Linked DNA regions of Arabidopsis thaliana. The protein of the gene in region 3 purifies or fractionates together with the protein of the main gene of each other region. This does not show direct contact. Each region holds a gene or a part of one and is shown on either strand. Other genes may lie near its edges. The genes, in order: ndhH, ndhI and CRR6.

Region 1 (5,493 bases), on a different chromosome or scaffold from region 3:
CAATCAAAAAGAGAAGAAACAAGACGGATAGAAATTGCAGAAACTTGGGATAGCTTCCTATTTGCTCAAATAATAAGAGGTTCTCTCTTAGTAACTCAATCAATTCTTAGAAAATATATTATATTACCTTTATTGATAATAATTAAAAACAGTGTCCGTATGTTATTATTTCAATTTCCCGAGTGGTCCCAGGATTTAAAGGATTGGAAACGTGAAATGCATGTTAAATGTACTTATAATGGGGTTCAACTATCCGAAACAGAATTTCCAAGAAACTGGTTAACGGATGGTATTCAGATAAAAATCCTATTTCCTTTTTATCTTAAACCTTGGCATAAATCTAAATTTCAAGCATCTCAGAAGGCTCGACTAAAAAAAACAAAAGACAAAGGAGAAAAAAATGATTTTTGTTTCTTAACAGTTTGGGGAATGGAAACCGAACTACCGTTTGGTTCTGCCCAAAGAAAGCCTTCTTTTTTTGAACCTATTTCTAAAGAATTAAAAAAAAGAATCAAAAAATTAAAAAAAAAGTCTTTTGTGGTTTTAAAGATTTTCAAAGAAAGAGCACCCATTTTCCTAAAAGTCGCAAAAGAAACTAAAAACTGGATTCTCAAAAACTTTATTTTTATAAAAGGAATTTCAAAACGAAATCTAATTCCATTATTTGGCCCGAGAGAAATATATGAATTAAATGAACCTAAAAAAGATTCAATAATAAGTAATCAGATGATTCATGAACTATCTGTTCAAAATAAATCCTTGGAGTGGACAAATTCTTCACTTAGCGAAAAAAAAATCAAAAATTTGATTGATAGAAAAAAGACAATCAGAAATCAAATAGAAGAAATTTCAAAAGAAAAACAAAACTTAACTAATAGTTGTACCAAACTGCGTTATGATTCTAAAATAATTGAGTCATCAAAAAAAATTTGGCAGACATTCAAAAGAAAAAATACCCGATTAATTCGTAAATCCATTTTTTTTTTTAAATTTTGCATCGAACAAATGTCTATAGCTATTTTTCTAGGTATCATTAATATTCCAAGAATTACTACACAACTTTTTTTTGAATCAACAAAAAAAATTCTTGATAAATATATTTACAAGAATGAAGAAAATGGAGAAAAAAAAAAAAATACTCTTTATTTTATTTCGACTATAAAAAATTTAATATCCAATAAAAAAAAAATGAGTTATGACCTATGCTCTTTATCACAAGCATATGTATTTTACAAATTATCACAAATTAAAGTTAGTAACTTTTGTAAATTAAAGGCTGTTCTTGAATATAACATATGCATAACATCCTTTTTTGTTAAGAATAAAATAAAGGTTTTTTTTCAAGAACACGGAATCTTTCATTATGAATTGAAAAATAAAACCTTTTTGAATTCCGAAGTAAATCAATGGAAAAACTGGTTACGAAGTCAGTATCAATACAATTTACCCCAGATTTCATGGGCTAGATTAGTAACCCAAAATTGGAAAAATAAAATAAATAAAGATTCTCTAGTTCTAAACCCAAGTTTAACCAAAGAGGATTCATATGAAAAAAAGAAATTTGATAATTATAAAAAACAAAAATTTTTTGAGGCCGACTCATTATTAAATCCAAAACATAATGTAAAAAAAGATTCTATATATAATCTTTTTTGCTATAAATCTATTCATTCTACAGAAAAAAATTTTGACATGTCTATAGGCATTGCCCTAGATAATTGTTTAGTCTCTTCTTTTCTAGAAAAATATAATATTCGGGGTATGGGGGAAATTCGGCATAGAAAATATTTGGATTGGAGAATTCTTAACTTTTGGTTTACAAAAAAAGTAACTATTGAGCCTTGGGTTGATACTAAGAGTAAAAAAAAATATATTAATACTAAAGTTCAGAATTATCAAAAAATTGATAAAATAACGCAGACGGATCTTGCTAATAAAAAAAGAAACTTTTTTGATTGGATGGGAATGAATGAAGAAATACTAAATCAGCGTATAACAAATTTTGAATTTTTTTTCTTTCCGGAATTTTTCTTATTTTCTAGTACATATAAAATGAAACCATGGGTCATACCAATCAAATTACTTCTTTTAAATTTTAATGAAAACATAAATGTTAATAAAAAGATCATTCGAAAGAAAAAAGGTTTTATACCATCAAATGAAAAAGAATCCCTTCGATTTTATAATCTGAATAAAGAAGAAAAAGAATCGGCCGGTCAAGTAGAACTTGAATCAGATAAAGAAACAAAAAGAAATCCCGAAGCAGCTCGATTAAACCAAGAAAAAAATATTGAAGAAAATTTTGCAGAATCAACAATAAAAAAACGTAAAAATAAAAAACAATACAAAAGTAATACAGAAGCGGAACTTGATTTATTTCTGACAAGATATTCGCGTTTTCAATTGCGATGGAATTGTTTTTTTAATCAAAAAATTCTCAATAATGTAAAAGTATACTGTCTCTTGGTTAGACTAAACAATCCAAACGAAATAGCGGTATCTTCTATTGAAAGAGGAGAGATGAGCCTAGACATTCTAATGATTGAGAAAAATTTCACTTTTGCAAAATTAATGAAAAAAGGAATATTGATTATTGAACCTGTGCGTTTGTCTGTACAAAACGATGGACAACTTATTATATATAGAACCATAGGTATTTCATTGGTTCATAAAAATAAACACAAAATAAGTAAAAGATACAAAAAAAAAAGCTATATTAATAAAAAATTTTTTGAAAAATCCATTACAAAATATCAAAACAAAACTGTAAATAAAAAAAAAAATAATTATGATTTCTTTGTCCCTGAAAAAATTCTATCCCCTAAACGACGTAGAGAATTTCGAATTCTAATTTGTTTCAACTTAAAAAAAAAAAATGCTAGGGATACAAATTCAAGATTTGATAAGAATATTCAAAACTTGACCACCGTTTTGCATAAAAAGAAAGATCTTGATCTTGATAAGGATAAAAATAACTTAATTAATTTAAAATCCTTTCTTTGGCCCAATTTTAAATTAGAAGATTTAGCTTGTATGAATCGCTATTGGTTTAATACTACTAACGGAAATCATTTCAGTATGATAAGAATACGCATGTATACGCGATTTCCAATTCCTTAATCATAAATACTTTTTACTATATATAATAAGTTACGGTATATGAAAACAACTATATGCACAAATATGAGGGATTGTTTTAAATTAAATCTTTATACATGAGATTAATTTAATCAATCACATAGATACCAATTATAGCGGATTCATAAATAAATTAACAGAATCCTTCTTTTTGAGATCTAAATTTAGATTTTTTTCTAAAATGAAGAATTAAGAGGTTGATAATTAAATTAAGATCCTTGTACAAAAAAACTACCATTATTATTACTGATCAGTAAAATTAATATCTTTCAATTCATATTAAAAGGGGAAGGATTTCTTTTTATGATAAAAAATATAGTCATTTCATTTGAAGAACAAAAAGAAGAAAGCAGGGGATCCGTTGAATTTCAAGTATTTAGTTTCACTAATAAGATACGAAGACTTACTTCACATTTGGAATTGCACAGAAAAGATTATTTATCTCAGCGGGGTCTACGAAAAATTCTGGGAAAACGTCAACGACTGCTGGCTTATTTGTCAAAAAAAAATAGAGTACGTTATAAAGAATTAATTAATCAGTTGAATATTCGGGAATTAAAAACTCGTTAAATTCAAAAATTGTGAATTAGTGAATTTTTTAGATCTTGAATTTTTTGATAAACTTCTTTATTCAGAAATCTAATTCATGCCAGAACGAATCAAGGAAAAACTTATGAAGAGACCAGTTACAGGAAAAGATCTTATGATAGTCAATATGGGACCTCACCACCCATCCATGCATGGTGTTCTTCGCTTAATTGTTACTCTAGATGGTGAGGATGTTGTTGACTGTGAACCCATATTAGGTTATTTACACAGAGGAATGGAAAAAATTGCAGAAAACCGAGCAATTATACAATATTTACCGTATGTAACGCGATGGGATTATTTAGCTACTATGTTTACAGAAGCAATAACAGTAAATGGACCAGAACAATTGGGAAATATTCAAGTTCCTAAAAGGGCCAGCTATATCAGAGTAATTATGCTGGAATTGAGTCGTATAGCTTCTCATCTGTTATGGCTCGGCCCTTTTATGGCAGATATTGGTGCACAGACTCCCTTTTTCTATATTTTCAGAGAACGAGAATTTGTATATGATCTATTCGAAGCTGCCACCGGTATGAGAATGATGCATAATTTTTTTCGTATTGGAGGAATAGCGGCTGATTTACCTTATGGTTGGATAGATAAATGCTTGGATTTTTGTGATTATTTTTTAACAGAGGTTGTTGAATATCAAAAACTCATTACACGAAATCCTATTTTTTTAGAACGGGTTGAAGGAGTTGGGATTATTGGTGGGGAAGAAGCAATAAATTGGGGTTTATCCGGACCAATGCTACGCGCATCCGGAATACCATGGGATCTTCGTAAAATTGATCGTTATGAGTCTTACGATGAATTTGAATGGGAAATTCAATGGCAAAAACAAGGAGATTCATTAGCTCGTTATTTAGTACGACTTAGCGAAATGACAGAATCCATAAAAATTATTCAACAGGCTCTGGAAGGACTTCCAGGGGGTCCCTATGAGAATTTAGAAAGCAGGGGCTTTGATAGAAAAAGGAATCCAGAATGGAATGATTTTGAATATCGATTCATTAGTAAAAAACCTTCTCCTACTTTTGAATTATCAAAACAAGAACTTTATGTAAGAGTTGAAGCTCCAAAAGGGGAGTTGGGAATTTTTCTCATAGGAGATCAAAGCGGTTTTCCTTGGAGATGGAAAATACGACCACCGGGTTTTATTAATTTGCAAATTCTTCCTGAACTAGTTAAAAGAATGAAATTGGCTGATATTATGACGATACTCGGTAGCATAGATATAATTATGGGAGAAGTTGATCGTTAAAATGATAATTTATGCAACAGCAGTCCAAACTATAAATTCTTTTGTTAAATTGGAATCTTTAAAAGAGGTCTATGGACTCATATGGATATTTGTCCCTATATTTTCTCTTGTATTGGGAATCATAACAGGTGTACTAGTAATTGTGTGGTTAGAAAGAGAAATATCTGCAGGGATACAACAACGTATTGGACCTGAATACGCCGGCCCGTTGGGAATTCTTCAAGCTCTAGCCGATGGGACAAAACTACTTTTCAAAGAAAATCTTCGTCCATCTAGAGGAAATACTCCTTTATTTAGTATTGGACCATCTATAGCAGTTATCTCTATTTTACTAAGTTATTCAGTAATTCCCTTTAGCAATCACCTTGTTTTAGCGGATCTCAATATCGGTATTTTTTTATGGATTGCCATCTCAAGTATTGCTCCTATTGGACTTCTTATGTCAGGATATGGATCAAATAATAAATATTCTTTTTTAGGTGGTCTGCGAGCTGCTGCCC
Region 2 (3,478 bases), on a different chromosome or scaffold from region 3:
TAAAATATGAAATAGTATTCAATCAAATTTAATTGAATGAACGGAAAAAATCATAACATACACAAAGTTTTCTTTGGTCTTTAATAATTTAGAACATTTTTTATTGACGAGCCACAGAAATTGCACCTATCAAAGCAACTAAAAGAATTATTGAAATGAGTTCAAATGGCAGAAAAAAATCTGTTGATAAATGAATTCCTATTTGTTGACTATTACTTATTAAATCTTGCTCTAGAATCTGGTTTAATTTTGTAGTCCAAATAACCCCGTACCATGACGTATCGAGAATAGTAGACATTAATAAAAAAAGAATAGTTGTACAAACCAACGAAGTAATCCCATTCCCAATGGTCCACAGATTGAAATCTGTGGAATATTCTGAATCATTCATGAACATCACAGCAAATATGATTAAAACATTTATGGCCCCCACATAAATAAGGAGTTGTGCAGCAGCTACAAAATGGGAATTTGATAGAATATACAATAAAGATATACAAACAAGAACAAATCCTAAGGAAAAGGCTGAAAATATTGGGTTGGGAAGTAATACCACTCCCAGACCCCCTACTAGAAGACCGGATCCCAGAAAAACTAAAAGAAAATCATGTATTGGTCCAGGCAAATCCATTATATTATTAAAATAAGAAAAAATCGAAATCCTTTTCATGACCTTATTAATTTAACCAGGAAATTTGTTTTTTATATGTTTCTAAATAGAGTGAAATTAGAATCTAATGGATATGAATTGATGTAGATACAATTATTAGTATTAGGCTGTTTTCTCTTTTTTTTTTTCTAAAGTGTATTTTCAACCTATCAATTTCAAGAAAGTAATTACGAATATATTATATTAAAAGAATGTGCCTTAATACTTAATATTATTATTATTATATAAATACAATACAAGTTTTTAATTAAATTCTTTATATAAATATAATTCAACAACTTGGAATTCTTTTTTTAATCAAATTAAAGGGTTTACCCCATTTTTTGTTTGAGGTGAATTCCAAATTGTTCGAATAGTGTAATCGTCAATTACTGACATTGGTAAACGACCCAAAGCTATTTGATTATAATTCAATTCGTGACGATCATAAGTGGAAAATTCATATTCTTCAGTCATTGACAAACAATTTGTTGGACAATACTCAACACAATTACCACAAAATATACAAATTCCAAAATCAATACTGTAATTAAGCAATCGTTTTTTTCGAATATTAGTTTCCAATTTCCAATCAACAACAGGCAAATCTATAGGACATACTCGAACACATACTTCACAAGCAATGCATTTATCAAATTCAAAATGGATTCGACCGCGGAAACGTTCCGATGTTATTAATTTTTCATAGGGATATTGAATAGTTACAGGTAAACGATTTGTGTGGGATAAGGTAATCATGAAACCTTGACCAATATACCTTGCAGCTCGTAGGGTTTGTTGACCATAATTCATGAACCCGGTTATCATAGGAAGCATATTGTAATTATCTCTGAATAATTTTATCTTTGTTTCTGTCTCTTGTTTAAAACAAATAATGAATATATTAGATTCATTTTAAATTTAGAGTGAAAAGAGTTGGAAAGAAGTGGTTAATAATAGATTACCAAGGGAAATAGGTAAAAGAAATTTCCATCCAAGATTTAATAGTTGATCCATTCTTAGCCTAGGTAAAGTCCATCTTGTTGCGATAGAAACGAACAAAAACAAATAAGTTTTAGCTAATGTAATAAAGATACCAATTGTTGTTCCAAAAATTTGATCCCTTTGAAATAGCTCCAGAATAGATATATACGGAATAGAAATATTCCAACCGCCTAAGTATAGAACTGTTACAAATAATGAGGAAATTAATAGATTTAGATAAGAAGCAACGTAAAATAAACCAAATTTTATACCTGAATATTCAGTTTGATAACCTGCTATTAATTCTTCTTCCGCTTCTGGTAAATCAAACGGTAACCTCTCGCATTCTGCTAGGGAAGAAATTAGAAAAATGATAAAACCTATAGGTTGACGCCACAAATTCCATCCCCAAAAACCATATTTTGATTGTGCCTCAACTATATCAACTGTACTTAAACTGTTAGATAATCCTAGTCGGCGAGAACATTACTATTTTCACCGCTATTTCAGAACCGTACATGAGGTCTTGGCCTCATACGGCTCCTCGGGGGCCATAAATAAATCTAAGGACCAGATTATAATTTAGATGGATATGATGTGTTCTAAAATGGATTAAATATATCTGGGGTCCCGAATTATACCAATGGAATTCTGTCTGCTCAAATTCTAAGAATAAAAAACGCGCTTCGGAATTCATCTCACCCCTTTACAAATTTGAATTTCTATTTGTTGAGTAATAACTTAACCCTTTAATAAAAAACTCCTAAAAAAAAAAAGTATTTAAGCCCATCGTGGTTTTCGATTACGAAAAATAATTAGACATCCTATTTTTTTATTATTCATGACAGAAATTCGATTTTATTTTCGAAATATATGAAAAAAAAAAGAGCCTTGTTTCGTTCCTATTCTTCTTTCTTTTTTAGAAAAAAGTTGGTAGACTTATAAAAAATAAAGGATTATTTCGTTTCTGATAGTCATTACATTTGTCGGTGGATAGGAGCATACTCTGAATCGGAATCTTGGGGAGTACTGTCTGATCATTTCTACTAATTTAAAGCCCCAATTAACCTTCTTTTTTTTATCTTATGTTAGGCCTAAATATCCTTTTCAATTTGGTTAATCTCTATTACAAATTCTTTGTGTATTTTGGTGTTTCTAACCATCCACTCACTTTTACCTAATTGCCGCTCACTTTGTAATACATGTATGTTAATCTATATAACTGATAGTGAAAACGTCATCCGGTTACCGGTTAATATATTTAACCCGCTTCAAGTCAGGATGACTAATCAACCAACCTTGGGGTAAAGTGATTCTTACACTTATGTTTATTTCCGTTTAACCTTTGTACATAGGAAATGAGACTCATTTTTCGTTTTACTGCAAATTTCAGAGCAGTTTTTTTTTCACTCATATATAACTATCAAATTCCTTTTATTAATTATTTCGATTAATTCGAAAGATAAATATATATTCCGTTTTTTAACTGATTCGTCTAGAAGAAACGGAATAGTAAAAATAAACGTTTCTGTTTCAACGAATCGCACGTAGAGATATTGATAAAACACATAGAGTTAATGGTATTTCATAACTAATCGATTGGGCAGCAGCTCGCAGACCACCTAAAAAAGAATATTTATTATTTGATCCATATCCTGACATAAGAAGTCCAATAGGAGCAATACTTGAGATGGCAATCCATAAAAAAATACCGATATTGAGATCCGCTAAAACAAGGTGATTGCTAAAGGGAATTACTGAATAACTTAGTAAAATAGAGATAACTGCTATAGATGGTCCAATACTAAATAAAGGAGTATTTCCTCTAGATGGACGAAGATTTTC
Region 3 (5,683 bases):
AATTCCAATAAGAAACATCCATCACTTGGCACATCTCATTGATATGTGCAAAGATAAGTATCTAGTTTTTGAGTTCGAAGACAACTATGTTGCTGTGTTGGAGAGGGAAGCTTCAAATTCTGCTTCCTTGTGCATCCTCAAAGATTATGGAATTCCCTCGGAAAGATCCGCTGATCTGCTCGAGCCATATGTTGATCCAATAGATGACACCCAAGCGCTTGACCAAGGTATTGGAGACAGCCCTGTGTCAAATCTGGAAATCGGCTTTGATGGACTGGTGTGGGCATAAAATATTCGAAAAGGCGTCCGCAGATGGAAACCACTGAAAGCTCATACAGCTTCCCCGAACATATGGGAAAGCTTTCAGCTTCATCCTCATTCATAAGGTCTTGTGCTGCTCAAACTCAAAGTTTAGTGAATTCTTTCTTCTTTATTCAAACCTCTATGGATTGAGTTTAATAGAAAGTTGGCCATGAGAATGCTCGGCCATTGTGTTCAGATGAATGTATACTGCTAAAAGCATTGCCAGAATCTCGACAAAAGTCAACAAATTATTCAGTGTCTGATTTTCTATGAGAAAATGAAATGCAGCAATGTCTTCTGTGACTGTAATATATATATATATATATATATATATATATATATATATCAGTGAATCGGTGCTTCCTTTTTACCAATTCTATTGTCTTCATCAACTGACAATAAACCTAAGATTGTTGCAGATCAGGAAAAAGCATAGCAAGTTAAAAGCTGGCACTCATTTCTATATTTGAGGGAAGAGCTTCACGGGACTCTACTTTGCTTTTTTAATAACTTTTTATTCACAAAATCAAAACATACAAACACTCCGACACAAATCAAAACCCGACAAATCCATATTTCATGTGCTCTGCCCTAAGCCAGAGGTCCACAACCAAACCCACCAATCTTGTCTTTTACCTCCTCTATAGCTGTATACCTTTTTCTTCTTCAGTTTCTTAAGGTCTCTCAGAAACATTCTCAGAGAAGCAGGAGAGACATTCACAGTAACCATGTCCGTCTCTCTGTTCACTGCCTTCACCGTTCTCTCACTCTGTTTACACACTTCAACATCTGAGTTTCAGCTGTCCACCATATCAGCTGCACCTTCGTTCTTGCCTGAAGCTCCATCGAGTTTCTCAGCTTCTACCCCGGCCATGTCTCCAGATACCTCTCCCCTGTTCCCTACTCCAGGTTCAAGCGAAATGTCTCCTTCCCCGTCGGAATCGTCTATCATGCCGACAATCCCCTCAAGCCTTAGTCCACCAAACCCAGATGCTGTCACTCCTGATCCTCTGCTCGAAGTTTCTCCAGTTGGATCTCCTCTTCCAGCTTCTTCCTCTGTTTGTTTGGTCTCATCACAACTCTCATCTCTGCTTCTTGTCCTACTCATGTTGCTACTAGCTTTCTGCAGTTTCTTCTAGTAATCATATAGAAACAGCGAGTAAGCAGCACTCTACACAATATCATCAGCAGAAACCAAATATTCACAAATGTATTCTTTCTTACTCTCTGCTTCTTCTGAATTTTTTTCATGTAATATTAATATAGCTTCTTCTAGTGTTCGTTCGTGTGAGATTTGCTCATAAAGCACTCTGCAGTTTGGGCTAGTGCGCAGTTGTTGTACTTGGTAGCAGTGATAGTGTGTGTTTTTTGTGCCTCAAAGTCAAAATTGATTGATCATCCAATTATGTATCACTCATCACATGTCCTTGTCTGAAACTGGGTTCTTGTGATTGAACAAATCAGAACAGCATGCATTATTAAGTAGGATAATTACCGGTTATAATACAGCACGGAAAGGACAGGATATATCTTGATAAACAGTGAAATGAACCACAGAAAATATCGAAGCTAAGCTCATGAGGTAGATGAGCCAACCTAAAGGACCTTGTTGCCATCGCACATAATGTAAAACAGCTTCCCAAAGAACTTGTTTAGTGGCTTGAACTCCAAAACGGTGCGTTGCTTGAGAGAATGGTGGGCAAGGCGTCTCTTGAGGCTCAAGTTCTCGTCTTTGAGGGTCTCAAGGGTTAGAGAAAGCTGTCTGATGACCTCTCTCTTCTCTTCGTCCTTGTCTAAGAGCTGTTTCCTCAGAGCATCAGTCTCTTCGATCAGCTTCAACCTTTCTTGTTCCAATTGCCAAGTCTCATCTTCTTTGCAATCAGCTGCGGAGGCATCATCTTGAAGGGGGTCTTCAATCTCAGAATCGGCATCTTCAAAGTGAGAATTGCTGTCACAAACGGACTCCATGGATTGTTGGGGAACCTTAGCGGAGCGAGATCCATAGTGGTCGGAAGACTTGAGGTGGTCGAAGTTCACGGCTAAGGAACGGTGAGCTCGATAAAAGTCTTCGACAAAGCTGATAAGCTCAGGACGTTTCTTGTAGTAAGTCTCAGCACGCTGAGCGAAAGAGTCTGCGTTTCCGTCTAACAACTTCAACATTGCCTTTGTCTTTGCATCAATCTCTGCACCACAAACGTTTCACACCAAAAAGTTGGCAAAAACCACAAAACATAGAGAAGAACTGAGTGAGAAAAAGAACCAACCAGCGAGTGTTGATTGAAGCCATTGAGAATGTTTGGAGCTCTTGTGGCTCTCGAACCACCACCATCTCGATTTCTCCTCTTCTCTAACCATTTCTTTTTGTGTTCTCTTCCCTAACACAACAACATATCCCAACAGAACCAAACAATTTCAACCAAAAAAAATAATCTATAAACGCAAAGGAGACCTCAATGCTTAGCTACTCAAGAATGAGAGATTCCTAAATACCTTGTTCTTTTTTCCAATTGTATTCTGAGAGCGATATAGACTAGAGAGAAATGAGAAAGATACGAATAAACCAATTGTTGATTTGTTTTTCAAATTTTGAATGGGCTCTCTCTTCTCTTCAGATATTCGAGATTTTGAATTTATTTTCCCAGATTTTACGGCTATTAATACAACTTATCCAATGAATATTCGCCACGTGTGTATCAAATACCCAAAAAAATCCTCTTAATTACCATCCCCAGGCCTTTTTCATTGTAAGCCCACAATTAGGCCCACGTATGTAATTTGAAGATAGAACACATCGTTTTTCATTCATTGTGATCGATCAAGTCGAAGAGCTCATCGCCGATACCGAATCCGAGCATCCTGGCCATGTCGCTCGTCTTCAACCTGGGCTTTGGGACGCCGTGCCGTTTCAGCCACGGATAAACCACAAACACTTTGTTCATTACGAAAAGCTCCAACGCCTCCGGATTGAAAACGACACCCATTCTCAAGCTCATCTGGTGCGGCACTAACATGGCTGCGTATCGAGCAAGTTCTCCAGCTCGCCAGTCCAGCAGCAGAGGCAGCCAAGGGTACATCGCGTCGAGCCTCACGAACCATAGTCTTACGTCCGGGTACTCTGACAGCTCCCGCGGATCCCCGGGGTCTTCTCTCTTGTAATTGATGGTGAATCCGATGGTTCGATCCAAATACCGTTTTGGTTCAGCTACACCAAAATCATCAGGCGAGGTTATGCCGATGGCTCTCTGAAACGGGGATAGGTCAAGCCGCCCAATTGAGTCGTTGTCGATCACTACTTCGTACCGGCCGGTCGTTGGAGGCATCGGAGGTTCCACTTTATCTGAATCTGCTACGCCTTTCACATAATTAATTAGTAGCAGCCTTTTTTTATTTATCATTCTGAATCAATTGAGCAAGTACGAACCTTGGTCATTCTCGAAGGCAGAGATGTCGAAATTGCCAGAAGGATTGAAGGCGACGGAGACTGCTACGTCTTCTGCCCTCCTCTTTCTTACACACCACCCGGCGGTCTCCAACGCCGGCAATTGAACCACTGGGAACAGCGATACGTGTCTCGGCGATGGGATAAGCCACGGGAGAAGAACTGCCTTTGTTGCCATTCACAGACGCTATCTCTCTTTGTGTCTTAGTCTTCTTTTTATCCTCTTCTTTTGGCCTTTTCTTCATTTCTTTCCATTTTATCCTTTTTTCCTTCACCGCACAAATACATATATTTTGCTGTCTGTCGTAAAGGTTTCAAATGTTAAGCAGAATGCATTTCTTCAATCGTTCAGAAAAATGAAGAGCTCTCTTCTTTAATGTGGAATGTTTTCAACTCAAGTCAGCCTCCTCGGTCTCATGTAGATGTAGGCATTGTCGAATCTCCTTCACTGTTGGTGAGGTGTTTCAGGAGCATCTGCAAGCTTGACCGTCTCTGATCTTCTTCTTCGCCATTGCCCCTTGCAAGCAGTGAGGCCTTCTTTGTCTTCCAAGGTCGTACCGGGTCAAAGGAGTTGCACAATAGAGGCTTTGTAAGTAAGTAGCTCAAAGACTGAGAATTCTGCTCACTTTAAAGTTTAAATAGCTATGCAATGGAACATTCCTTGGCAAAGATAAGTCCCCAAGGTCTCTACCATAGCAGTGGCAAAGATAATATGATTTGAGAGAAAAAGCTCACCTATGCAATCTAGTAAGATGAACATAAGCGTCAAAAGATCCACTTCACAGTGTCTTAGAGTGCCTGAGAATGAATATCTATTATAAGGCCAAATGATGATTTTGTTGTAGTGATTAACTTCTTTATGCTGTGTAGGCATAGTTAAGATCGAGACCCATTTAGACTTCAATTCGGCCCATATAGACGAAAAAAAGGATTCTTACGGCCCAATAATGTTATTTTTTATAACTCATAACACCTTTTTTTTTTTTTGACGTTTTCCTTTGTTTGTTTGTTTTTGTTTACGTTTTGACCAAATCAGTAGTTGTCCAAATCATTATTTATATCCAAAGAAGGAAGATTTCATCTTAATTATATAAAGTAAAACGTTAAAACACCTTTTGGCCCATTAAAGCGGCGAAAGTGCTGTGATCACGGCAACAAAAAGCTTACTCTGCTTAGTTTTGTTTTGTCAAATACAATTGCGTAAAAAGAGGAAAAACGGAAAGAAAGTTTCCATTAAACCAAAGTATTCTATTTGTAAGTCTTCTTATCTTCAGATGTCTATTTTATATGATGAATTTTGAACAAGATTTTTTAGAATCTAGTCAGTTACCATGTTTATTTCGGTGAAGTTCCAACATTTCTAGAAACATTACCAAAACAAAAGATAACAACGAGAAAGAGAAATACATAGAAAGCACACTTTAATTTCGTTATCATGTGGCAGCTTAATTTATTTCTATAATTGAAAAGCTTTCTTTATATATATCCCTTAATTAAAAAGGCAGAAGATAAATCGGTAAGAATACGGTCAATTAGAATGAAATGTAAAACTTTGTTACCAAATTTAGTTTGAAGAAAATAATGATAAAATAATAAAATGACTGACTGACAACAATTAAAAATGAGACAAGGAAGGAAGCGATTGGATAACACAGAGACAGACATACATATTCACTCCCCCGTCAAACCCTAAAATCTATTTCCTCTGACCGCTTCTTCTTCTGTGGGTTGTAAAAGGCATTCGCTTTCGAGTGTTGGTTGTCGATTTCGATGCCCCAATCTGGGACCTGGGTACTGTTCCCAAGCTCCACCTGGATTCTTATTGATGTGAAGCTCGTATAACTTGTGAATCGATGCGGCCTTTTTAATTTCGCTTGGGATTTCTTAGGTATTTATTCTCTGTATCCGGATCTCTATCTATAATCGGATCTTGTACCTATT

What was found.
Region 1: the proteins of CRR6 (region 3) and ndhH purify together in Arabidopsis thaliana (affinity purification with mass spectrometry, with the first as the bait; one study listed by BioGRID). This does not show direct contact.
Region 2: the proteins of CRR6 (region 3) and ndhI purify together in Arabidopsis thaliana (affinity purification with mass spectrometry, with the first as the bait; one study listed by BioGRID). This does not show direct contact.

Annotation. Positions count from the first base shown.
Region 1 is NC_000932.1:121,511-127,003, reverse strand, and holds ndhH (NADH dehydrogenase subunit 7), read left to right. Parts: upstream 1-3,811; coding exon 3,812-4,993; downstream 4,994-5,493. Other genes in the region: rps15 (ribosomal protein S15), read left to right, coding at 3,442-3,708; ndhA (NADH dehydrogenase subunit 1), read left to right, coding at 4,995-5,493. UniProt on the Arabidopsis thaliana protein: NDH shuttles electrons from NAD(P)H:plastoquinone, via FMN and iron-sulfur (Fe-S) centers, to quinones in the photosynthetic chain and possibly in a chloroplast respiratory chain.
Region 2 is NC_000932.1:118,277-121,754, forward strand, and holds ndhI (NADH dehydrogenase subunit I), read right to left. Parts: upstream 1,487-3,478; coding exon 968-1,486; downstream 1-967. Other genes in the region: ndhG (NADH dehydrogenase subunit 6), read right to left, coding at 101-631; ndhA (NADH dehydrogenase subunit 1), read right to left, coding at 1,571-2,100, 3,181-3,478. UniProt on the Arabidopsis thaliana protein: NDH shuttles electrons from NAD(P)H:plastoquinone, via FMN and iron-sulfur (Fe-S) centers, to quinones in the photosynthetic chain and possibly in a chloroplast respiratory chain.
Region 3 is NC_003071.7:19,612,978-19,618,660, reverse strand, and holds CRR6 (chlororespiratory reduction 6), read right to left. Parts: upstream 4,005-5,683; 5' UTR 3,921-4,004; coding exon 3,725-3,920; exon of another isoform or gene 3,699-3,724; coding exon of another isoform or gene 3,647-3,698; coding exon 3,102-3,646; 3' UTR 2,892-3,101; downstream 1-2,891. Other genes in the region: DEG2 (DEGP protease 2), read left to right, coding at 1-289; AT2G47935 (uncharacterized protein), read right to left, coding at 443-606, 940-1,072, 1,112-1,411; AGP26 (arabinogalactan protein 26), read left to right, coding at 1,032-1,442; NET3C (Kinase interacting (KIP1-like) family protein), read right to left, coding at 1,900-2,486, 2,568-2,658. UniProt on the Arabidopsis thaliana protein: Required for both formation and activity of the chloroplast NAD(P)H dehydrogenase (NDH) complex of the photosynthetic electron transport chain. May function in assembly or stabilization of the NDH complex.